3 linked regions of the Macaca fascicularis genome follow. The protein of the gene in region 3 interacts with the protein of the main gene of each other region in a pairwise test. Links are inferred from orthologs where the notes say so. Each region holds a gene or a part of one and is shown on either strand. Other genes may lie near its edges.

Region 1 (3,747 bases), on a different chromosome or scaffold from region 3:
GTGGATGCATTGTGCAAACCCTAAAACTCTTACAAACATCGGATATTAGTACTAACTTCATTAGGAATGTGAGTTATGTCAGAGTAAAAGCGCTCAGAGCTGGGGTGAACTACAGACGGGTGGCTTCATTCCTCGACCTTCCAATTCGAGATCTTTTTCCTTCTGCGGGAGGGGAAGCAGGCAAATAGCCTGCCTCTCACAGAGTGCCCATTCCCTCCCCGGGAACCAAGGTGCTCAGGCGGGTAAACTCAGGACACAACACTGTACAACTAGTCCCACAGGCAGGAGCCACTCCCTGGCCCTCGGGTCTCTCAAGCCCCGCCTGCTCCAAGCTACGGCCCCGCCCCAAAAGGAGACTGACCCCGCCCCCTCTGCGCTGGCCGGCACTCCTGCCGCGCGGAGCCTCCAGGACAGTCCCAGGCCCGTGCCGGAGATTCCCGAGCTTCCCCGATCGCTTCCCAGCCTCCCTCGGGCAGCTAGCGAGGAGGCGACGGAGATTGCCGAGAAGGGCTGGCCCCGCCCATCCGCAGGCCGCCACCGCCCCCCTAGCCATAGCCTCCCGCGCGGGCTGGAGTCCTACATCCCGGTCCCTCCCTCCCTCTTTCTCTCTCCCCGCCTTCCCGGTGCTGCCACAGTGGCGGGTCGGAGGATCCCGGCCAGTCAGCTCGTTCCTGCCTCGCGCCCCTCCTCCCCCCAAATAAACAGCCCTCCCTACGCCTTGGGAGCCCGGACCGCCCCCTTCCTCCCTCGGCCGGCGTGTTGTGAGGGAGAGTGTGAGCCAGCGCGGCCGGCGGGCGAGCTCCGGGAGTGCGAGAGGCGGGGCGGCGCGGCGGGCCGGGCCGGGTGTCGCGTGTGCGTGCGGGGGTGCGAGCGAGTGCCCGTCGCGACCCGCCAGTGGCCCCGCGCCGACAACCCGGCGGGCGGGCGGCCGAGCGAGCGAGCGGCCAGGCGAGGAGCTGCGGGTGCGAGCCGCGGAGGGGCGCGGAGTCCGCGCGCTCGCGCGCACGCACGCACGCACGCACGCGGGGGGCGGGGGCAGGCGCGCGCCCGCCTGTCGCGACAGTCGGGGCCGAGGCCCAGGGGGAGGTGGCCTGTCGCGGGTCGCCCGGCTCCCGGAGGCGAGGGGGGCGCGGGCGGATGGCGGAGGGCGCCCAGCCGCAGCAGCCGCCTCAGCTCGGGCCCGGCGCCGCTGCCCGGGGCATGAAGCGGGAGTCGGAGCTGGAGCTGCCGGTGCCCGGAGCCGGAGGAGACGGAGCCGATCCTGGCCTGAGCAAGCGGCCGCGCACTGAGGAGGCGGCGGCCGACGGTGGCGGCGGGATGCAGGTGACCGCGCGGGACGGGGCGCCCAGTTATTGCGGGGGAGAGGGGGAGTGGCGTGAGGGGCGACCCCGGGCTCCCCGGCTTGGAAAGAGGGAGGGCCTCCGGGGGTCCTGGGTTGGAGGTGGGATGGGGGGACCAGTCGGGGCCTGGTTGGAAGGTGGGGCGAGCTCGGGCTAGGAACGAAGGTTGCAGGACTGATCCTGGTGTGCCTGAGAGGGTCCTGATTCCTGAGGGGCGAGGAGGCACGACGAGTGGATAGGTTTTGGGGGGAAATCGAACGTGGTTGAGATGGATTCCATTTCTTCAAATCCTTCCTTAGTGCCCTGGGGTGGAGTGGAAGCCGGGAAATCCTGGGTTCTCTGGACGGAGTCGAGGAAGAGGGGATCTCGTGGGAAACCTCCCAAGAAGAGGGAGTACCTTTTGGCAGCCCTGGGCACCCGCTGGGATGGGGAAGAGAAGTGGCGTTTCAAGGAGAGGAGTGAAAAGCAAGAAAACTCCGAGAGAGAGCCCCGAGGGGATGTGGCTGAGATTGTGGGTTAAAACACACAGAGAGTGTGAGAAGTACAGGGAGTTTGGTAATGTTGTGGGGACACGGTGGTGCTCAGTCTCATTAACTTTGTGGAGCATACTAATGAGTCTGAAGGGAGACACCAGACATGTCCCTCCTGTTCTTTGCCAATTGCATTCTACATCTCCAGGACACAAAATAGCTCTTTAATGTCCTGGGCTATTAAAAAAAAATTTATAGGGCTATTAGAAGACTGGATTCTCAATTCTGGATTCAAAGATAAAAGTGGTTAATTTGGGTAGGGAATGGGAAAGGTATTGATGATGTCAGTTGACTTCATAGTTTTGAGGAAGACCTTGAAACCTTTGTAGGTTTTAGGGTTTGGTCTCTGCCCAGAAAATACTGCTATGAAATGGTGAGTCTCACCTATCAGCAATTGTGCAGACATGTGCCTAGTTCTCTCAGAGTCATAGGATGTTAGAGGGATGAGGAAGACTAGACATCTTTTCCAGGGGTTCTTAACCTGGACAGACTAGGAAGATTCTTACTTATAAAAGGTGATGTGCACTTTTTGGTGGCAGAGAGTCAATAATTTTCATCTTGGTTTTTTTTGGAGGGGATTTGAGTCCCAGCTTGTTTTAACCACCTTATTTTATAGATGGGGAATCAGAAGTCCAGAGAAGATGAGTGACTTGGGTAAGGCCACCCAGTTAGCTGATAGTAAAACTAGAACCAGAAGCCTGGTCTTCTAATTCCTATTCCTGTGCTGTCTCCATTACACCACTCTTGGAAATCTCTGCAGTGCTAAAAGACTTCCTGTGCTCTGCTCCCTGCTTTTCAAGCCTCTGCCTGACTTCCTGTGTTAGGGACGGAGCTGTACTTAAGCCTAGCGTATTTGTTGTGTGCTTCTTGGTCTCCTTTGCAGAGTTTACCCTGTTACTTGTGTTGATTTAGGTAAAGTGACCCTCTTGGTGTTTATTTTTGAATTCTTTTGTTTTGTTTGCCTGCTTTTATTTTCCATTAGAACTCTGTCAGGTAGAGGGATTGTGAGAAGTAAAAGCTCAGGGCCATGGAAAAAAAGACAGGAATATGGGAGACTGCAGGTGAGGTGAGCTAATATTGGATGGTAAGGAGGGAAGACTGGATATAGGTGCTGGTGAGCAGGTTCTACTTTGTGTGTGTGTGTGTGTGTGTGTGTGTGTATGTCTGTATGTATTCATTTATCATTTCTGTCAATCATAGTTAATAGTGAGACCCCCATCCCTTTCCCTCATTTACTCCTGGGGCCTATTATCTGCTGGTTGCCTTCAAATTGGCTAAAGATAGTGATATTCGGAAATGGAGCAATATGTAGGGACTTCACAGGGGTGTGCAGAGGAAAGAGTGGTTAGGTCCTTGGGGGTAGCTGAGAACTATCCCTCTGAGAATCCTTTTTTCACTCTGTGTATTTGTGGGTGTTCTTTGTTTATTTTCTTTCTATACATTTTTTTTTTTGCCCAGGATGGAGTGCAATGGCACGATCTCGGCTCACTGCAACCTCTACCTCCACCTCTGGGTTCAGGCGATTCTCCTGCCTCTGCTTTCTGAGTAGATGGGATTACAGGCATGTGCCACCATGCCCAGCTCATTTTTCGTATTTTTAGTAGAGGGGGATTTTCACCAGGTTGGCCAGGCTGTTCTCGAACTCCTGACCTCAGATGGTCCACCCACCTCAGCCTCCCAAAATGTTGGGATTACAGGCGTGAGCCACCACACCCAGCCTTCTGTGCATTCTCATTGTTGTAGGTCCATTCCCCTATGTCATACAGGTATTCAGATCATCACTGATTTAGGTCCTGCCTTCAACTAGCTGAGTGCCTGCAGAAATCTTTCATTTTGGGGCCTCTGTTTTCCTTAGCTATAAAATAAAGTATGTGTAC
Region 2 (3,747 bases), on a different chromosome or scaffold from region 3:
CATATAGCAAAAAATGCAAAATTCAGAAATGTGTAACGAGCATAGAATGTTACTGGAACAATTGACAAAACTTGAACACAGACTACATACTAAACAACAGCATGAAATTTCAGTTTTTCTGAATTTGACGACTGCAGTGTGGTTATGTAAGAGAATGTCTTTTCTTAGGAGATACACCGTGAAACAGAGGAAAAAGGACATGATTCTGAAACTCTCAAATGTTTCAAAAAGTAACATATTGAAATCACACATAGGTACACATGTGCATAGGTATACATATATATGTATAGAGACATTGCAGTAGCAAATGTGTTAACATTTGGCAAATCTGGATAAGGATTTGCAATTCTGCTGCATTTGAAATTATTTAAAAATACAAAACTTGAGTGTTTGGAGAAACAGGAATAAGAAATATTTTGTTACTATATTTGCGGCTTCTATACAGTCTTTTACGACGCAATTGAAAAAAAAAACTAAACTAAAAAATATAACATAAATCTTCCCTCCCATAGTGGCCAGAAACCCCTGCCAAGTTCTTCGGATATCGTAACAGGAAAAAAATGCAAAGCAATATGTCTTTCTATAAAGATTACTTATTTACTAATTATCATTTTTTAATTTTCATGAAGATCAACAACAAAGTTTTTTTAAAATAATGACTTTGAGAATCATTTTGCGGTATTTGTTCAAGGCTCTCGCCCAGGAAAACGCCCAGGGACCATGCGCGCTTCAATCCAGTGGAAACACGAACGGCCCAGGGACCGCCCCTTCGCGTTGCTTGACGGGATCTGGAGTCCTCCCGCTCCGCCCGGCCAGGCGCTCGGGAACCGCCCGTCTGCTCCCTCATCTCGCGATGCCATCCTCCTTTTTTTTTTTTTTTCCCCCCCTCCCACTCGCCCCTAAGCCCTATGACTCCCTCCCCTCTCAACGTGTTTTTCAAATCCACCAATGGGCACACAGCTTGGGCTCGAACCAGCCAATCGGAATGCGGAGTCACCGGGAAATTTAAATCGCGCCGGCCGGCTGCACGAGCCACACGGTCTTTGAGCTGAGTCGAGGTGGACCCTTTGAGCGCAGCCGTCCCACAGCCGCTGATTCCCCGCATCGCCTCCCGTGGAAGCCCGGGCCCGCTTCTCAGGTACAGACTCAGGCGGCGGCTCGGCCCGAGCGCTAACGGTTTGCCCGCGGGCGGCGTTCGCCTTTGGGTGGGGGGAAGGAGGCCCCGGGTCCACGCCGAGCCTGGCTCAGCCTCCCGCGTTGTCTAGGCCTCGGGGGCGACTGGTTCATTGACCAGGCGGCTGAGTTTCGCGGGGTCTGCGGGTTTAGGGCGCCGACGCTCTTCAAACGGCAGCGGAGACCATAACGCGTCGCGGCCGGGAGAATCGGAGCGAGCCAGGCCTGAGGGCGAATGTCCCGGGAGGGCTCGTGGCGGCCCTGGCCTCGCTTCCCCCTTTCTCGTTGCATCTTCCCCGACGTAGGGGCAGGGGCAGGGGCTGGGGGTGGCAGTTGGGAGCACTGTCTCTGACACTTTGGCCCCGGGGTGGCTGTGCCACCAAGTCGTAGGCGAGCGTAATGAAAGCAAAGATAGCAAATTGTAAGGAGGGCTTTGACTTTTGTCGTCTTCTGAATGACGCACAGCTGATGTCGTCCTAATTAAGTGCATTCGCTCCTAGTCTCTGGAAATGCAAATCAAATATGCGACATGCGGCACTGCATTTTTAATGTTGACCATAATGTAATGATGAAGCAAATTTTTTTTAGTTTTCGAATCTGCACCTATTTTGGCCAAGTAAAGACAGTAAAGTAGTGCGAGCCTCCTGAGAATCTGAATTTATTGCCCTGGCACATAATTTTTAGCTGTAAGTTAACTTGGTTCCCCTGCTTTGCCTTGGATTAACTATTAGGGACTCTGGAGTATCGAGCCAGGCTGTCAGAAACGGTGGACACACGTGGCTAGTCCAAATTGAAATACGCTGTAAGCTTAAAGTACACAAAAGACTTCAAAGATAGAGTATGGAAAAAGAATGTAAAAGATGTCAGTTATTTTATATATTGAAATATATATGTTGAAATACTATTTGGATATGTTGGGTTAAGTAAAATAAATTATTGAAATTAGTTTCACTTGTTTCTTTTCGCCTTTTAAAAAGTATGGCTACTAGGAAGTTTCAATTTATATAGCTTGCATTCTATTTCTGATGGACAGCCCTCTCCAGGAAGTCTCAGCGCTTCAGAGGGAAGGGGGACAGTTCCCGTTTGGGTAAAGCTATTTCATAGTGCTGAAAGCATGATGATCCCCCCTCTAGTATACAGGTGTGGATTCAGTAGATGCTTGATAATTCAATTCTTATTTGGTACTATTATTGACAAAGGAAAATGATAAAGGAAATATTTTTCTCCTCGCCCATCTTTTAGCTTTCTCCCTTTGTCTCATAACCATGTCCACCAATGAGAATGCTAATACACCAGCTGCCCGTCTTCACAGATTCAAGAACAAGGGAAAAGACAGTACAGTGAGTACCTTCTGTTGCTTTCCTGTGGTGGTGTTTAAATGGGAGGACATTTGGAAAGGGGTGAAAACTTAGGGATCTTTTTAAAAATACCCTCACTTAGCAACAAAAACTGATGTGATAGGTGAAACGGCATGTTATCTTTTCTCAAGGAAATGAGGCGTCGCAGAATAGAGGTCAATGTGGAGCTGAGGAAAGCTAAGAAGGATGACCAGATGCTGAAGAGGAGAAACGTAAGCTCATTTCCTGATGATGCTACTTCTCCGCTGCAGGAAAACCGCAACAACCAGGTAAAAAATGTATTTTGGTTTATGAGTTACGTGAAATCCAGAAAATCAGTAGGAACTTTTCTTAGAAATTCCAGTAAACTTAACATTTTTAGCCTTAGGTTGTAACTATCTGTGAAGATCTTTTTCTCTGTTCCCAATTAGTAATTGTCTTCTTTCCTGCCTTCCATAATCCACTGAAGCTGATTTAGGATCTTCCTTTAGCTCTGACCTTCCTTCAGACTTCCCTGCATTTCTAGCTGCTAACTGGGTACCTTGACCTGACCACTGTGTCCAGAGCCAACCAGTTTCTGGTTTATTCTTTTTTTTTTTTTTTCCCTAGACGGGGTCTTGCTTTGTTGCTCAGGCTGGAGTGCAGTGGCACAATCTTGGCTCACAGCAACCTCTGCCTCCTGGGTTCAAGCAATTCTCCTGCCACAGCCTCCTGAGTAGCTGGGATTACGGGCACGCACCACCATGCTTGACTAGTTTTTGTATTTTTTTTTTGTTTTGTTTTTTTGAGTTTCCCTCTGTCGCCCAGGCTGGAGTACAGTGGTGTGATCTCAGCTTACTGCAAGCTCCACCTCCCAGGTTCACGCCATTCTCTTGCCTCAGCCTCCCAAGTAGCTGGGACTACAGGCACCTACCACCCTGCCCAGCTAATTTTTTTGTATTTTTAGTAGAGACGGGGTTTCATCATGTTAGCCAGGAAGGTCTCTGATCTCCTGACCTCGTGATCCACCCGCCTCGGCCTCCCAAAGTGCTGGGATCACAGGTGTGAGCCACTGCCCGGTCTGTTTTTGTATTTTTAGTAGAGGCAGAATTTCACCATGTTGGCCATGCTAGTCTTGAACTCCTGACCTCGTGATATGCCTGCCTTGGCCTCCCAAAGTGCTGGGATTACAGGCGTGAGCCACCAGGCCCTGCCCGTTTTTGGTTTATTTCTGCCTTTTTTGGTATTCTCTCTTTTT
Region 3 (3,485 bases):
TTTACAGAGAAGGAAATTAAGTGGCAGAGAAGTGAAGTGACTTGAGTGATTTGTTCAGGGTGGTACAGACAGAGCCAGTGGTGGACATAGGAAGAGGAGAAGCCTCAGTCCCCATCTTTGGTTTGTTCCTGACCTGGTTCGGAGATGAAACTCCTGCCTGGAAGACAGTGAAAGACAAACCCAGGACTCAGGGTGACCAATGGCTAGTGGGTCAGGCTGTCACTACAGGTGAGGGTTTAGAGGGCATTCCTGGAATAGATAAGGTAAGGACACAGAACCCACTGGTGATTCTGAACTTTTCTTCTCTCTGATGATACAGATTAATAACTTGAATGTTGAAGAGAACAGCAGTGGGGATCAGAGGCGGGCCCCACTGGCTGCAGGGACCTGGAGGTCTGCACCAGTTCCAGTGACCACTCAGAACCCACCTGGCGCACCCCCCAACGTGCTCTGGCAGACGCCATTGGCTTGGCAGAACCCCTCAGGCTGGCAAAACCAGACAGCCAGGCAGACCCCACCAGCACGTCAGAGCCCTCCAGCTAGGCAGACCCCACCAGCCTGGCAGAACCCAGTTGCTTGGCAGAACCCAGTGATCTGGCCAAACCCAGTAATCTGGCAGAACCCAGTGATCTGGCCAAACCCCATTGTCTGGCCTGGCCCTGTTGTCTGGCCGAATCCACTGGCCTGGCAGAATCCACCTGGATGGCAGACCCCACCTGGATGGCAGACCCCACCAGGCTGGCAGGGTCCTCCAGACTGGCAAGGTCCTCCTGACTGGCCGCTACCACCCGACTGGCCACTGCCACCCGATTGGCCACTTCCCACTGACTGGCCACTACCACCTGACTGGATCCCCGCTGATTGGCCAATTCCACCTGATTGGCAGAACCTGCGCCCCTCGCCTAACCTGCGCCCTTCCCCCAATTCGCGTGCCTCACAGAACCCGGGTGCTGCACAGCCCCGAGATGTGGCCCTTCTTCAGGAAAGAGTAAGAGCTGTAACTCCCCAGTCACTTTTCCCCTCTCTTGCTCTTTTCTTTGTCACCCTCTCATCTATAATTCAACCAAGATTTTTTGTAAATATCTTATAAGTTTAATGATTTCCTTTTTCCCTCCCAGGCAAATAAGTTGGTCAAGTATTTGATGCTTAAGGACTACACAAAGGTGCCCATCAAGCGCTCAGGTAGGCATCCGTGTCCCCTCCCCAAGCTCTACCCTTCCCTTCACTCCATGCTCTGTTGGTGTTCTTCTGCTTGTATGACCCTTCCCCTTCTGTCCCCTCCTTTCCATGGTTGGCTCTTTTCACCCTTGAGGACCTTGACTGTGCTACCCACAGCAGGGCTGGCAAAGGGACTGCTGCTCTGTGGCCTCCACTCGGCTCAGATGGCTCCCTCCTCTCTCCTACAGAAATGCTGAGAGATATCATCCGTGAATACACTGATGTTTATCCAGAAATCATTGAACGTGCATGCTTTGTCCTAGAGAAGGTGAGAAGACAGCCCTGGGGGACAGGAATAATGGGGAAAGTTGATTTCAAAGATTCATGGGGTTCCTATTGGGAGTTTAGGGCAAGTCTCAGGGAGGTGAGTGTCTGCCTATGGGTAGCTTATGCTAGATGTTGTAATTTCATGGTCTGTTTTCTTGTCCCTGTAGAAATTTGGGATTCAGCTGAAAGAAATTGACAAAGAAGAACACCTGTATATTCTCATCAGTACCCCCGAGTCCCTGGCTGGCATACTGGGAACGTAAGATGGGAAAGAAGGTGGAGCATGGCCTTTCTCAGTGGTGCTTTTTTTCCAGGAGTTTCACATAGATCAGGGTCCAGGGTTCAGGGTCACATAGCAGGTCATGGGCAGAGCTGGGGTATAATTCTCCCCTAGCTGAGGAATACTGGGGAGGCTAGATGGGTAAGCTGGTTGGGGTCTCTCATGCAAATGGCTGCTGAAAATACATTCTTTCTATATTCCCTTAGGACCAAAGACACACCCAAGCTCGGTCTCCTCTTGGTGATTCTGGGTGTCATCTTCATGAATGGCAACCGTGCCAGTGAGGGTGAGTGACTGGACCTGCAGCTGGGGGTTGGCCACAGCCTGATTTCCATGCTTATTTTCCGTCCCTTGTCTCCCCTTGCCTCCCATTGCAGCTGTCCTCTGGGAGGCACTACGCAAGATGGGACTGCGTCCTGGGTATGATTGGGCTCTCTCATCTCTTACCCGTTTGTACCATCCTTTGGCAACAGTGGATGGTCCCAGGATTGCATTAACCTGGGGGTCTGGAGGGTTTGGTTTGGGGATGTTCAGAGCCCAAAGATGTAACCTGGGTGGATGGGGGAACAGTTCTGAACTCTCTGCCTCTTTTCTCATCTCTGACCTCTGTTCTGGAAAGCTCTTTGGGCATAGTAATAGCCTCTGATTGTGGATTTCCTTTTTTTACCTTCAGGGTGAGACATCCCCTCCTTGGAGATCTAAGGAAACTTCTCACCTACGAGTTTGTAAAGCAAAAGTAAGTGATGCCTAAGGGGCTTTTCCTGCTCCCTATGATTCTGCCTGTGTGCTGGTCAGCTTTAGAAAGCCCTTCCTGGACAGGTACAATGGCTCACGCCTGTAATCCCAGCACTTTGGGAGGCTCAGGTGGGCAGATCCCTTGAGCCCAGGAATTCAAGACCAGCCTGGGAAACATGACGAAACCCCATCTCTACAAAAAATACAAAAATTAGCCAGGCGTGGTGACATGCACCTGTAGTCCCAGCTACTTGGGAGGCTGAGGTAGGGGAGAATCATCTGAGCCCAGGAAGTTGAGGCTGCAGTGAGTTGTGATCATGCCAACTGCACTCCAACCTGGGCAACAGAGCGAGACCCTGTCTCCAAAAAAAAAATTAAAAAAAGCCCTTCTGAAGCTCATTTCTTACACTGTACCTGTGCATATGTGTTTCTGTGCGTACAGAAACGTGTGTCCTCAGGAGTATTTATTGCATATACTCCTCGTGGTTAGATTCTTTCTTTTCTTTTCTTTCCTTTTCTTTTCTTTTCTTTTCTCTTCTCTTCTCTTCTCTTCTCTTCTCTTTTCTCTTCTCTTCTTTTCTTTTCTTCTTTTCTTCGAGATGGAGTTTCACTCTTGTTGCCCAGGCTGGAGTTCCATGGCATGATCTTGGCTCACTGCAGCCTCTGCCTCCTGGGTTCAAGCGATTCTCCTGCTTCAGCCTCCCGAGTAGCTGGGATTACAGGCATGCACCACCACGCCCAGCTAATTTTGTCTTCTTAGTAGAGATGGAGTTTCTGCATGTTAGACCGGTCTCGAACTCCCGACCTCAGGTGATGCTCCTGCCTCGGCCTCCAAAAGTGCTGGGATTAAGGCGTGGGCCACCGTACCCGGCGAATTCTTTTGTTTGCTTTTTTCGAGACTGAGTCTCACTCTATTGCCCATGCTGGAGTGCAGTGGCGCAATCTTGGCTCGCTTGAACTTCCACCTCCTAGGTTCAAGCAATTC

What was found.
Region 1: the proteins of MAGED1 (region 3) and RBFOX2 interact in binary tests that used the Homo sapiens proteins (3 or more experiments, as listed by UniProt). The two-hybrid records come from large-scale screens. The link is inferred for Macaca fascicularis from reciprocal best matches to the Homo sapiens genes MAGED1 and RBFOX2.
Region 2: the proteins of MAGED1 (region 3) and KPNA2 interact in binary tests that used the Homo sapiens proteins (3 or more experiments, as listed by UniProt). The two-hybrid records come from large-scale screens. The link is inferred for Macaca fascicularis from reciprocal best matches to the Homo sapiens genes MAGED1 and KPNA2.

What each region holds. Positions count from the first base shown.
Region 1 is NC_088384.1:15,622,281-15,626,027, forward strand, and holds the start of RBFOX2 (RNA binding protein fox-1 homolog 2), read left to right. Parts: upstream 1-1,061; 5' UTR 1,062-1,137; coding exon 1,138-1,323; intron 1,324-3,747. UniProt on the Homo sapiens protein: RNA-binding protein that regulates alternative splicing events by binding to 5'-UGCAUGU-3' elements. Prevents binding of U2AF2 to the 3'-splice site.
Region 2 is NC_088390.1:74,459,467-74,463,213, forward strand, and holds the start of KPNA2 (importin subunit alpha-1), read left to right. Parts: upstream 1-1,034; 5' UTR 1,035-1,138; intron 1,139-2,415; 5' UTR 2,416-2,438; coding exon 2,439-2,513; intron 2,514-2,662; coding exon 2,663-2,800; intron 2,801-3,747.
Region 3 is NC_088395.1:51,964,702-51,968,186, forward strand, and holds part of MAGED1 (melanoma-associated antigen D1), read left to right. Parts: intron 1-319; coding exon 320-988; intron 989-1,118; coding exon 1,119-1,182; intron 1,183-1,406; coding exon 1,407-1,486; intron 1,487-1,652; coding exon 1,653-1,744; intron 1,745-1,971; coding exon 1,972-2,051; intron 2,052-2,142; coding exon 2,143-2,185; intron 2,186-2,438; coding exon 2,439-2,501; intron 2,502-3,485. UniProt on the Homo sapiens protein: Involved in the apoptotic response after nerve growth factor (NGF) binding in neuronal cells. Inhibits cell cycle progression, and facilitates NGFR-mediated apoptosis. May act as a regulator of the function of DLX family members.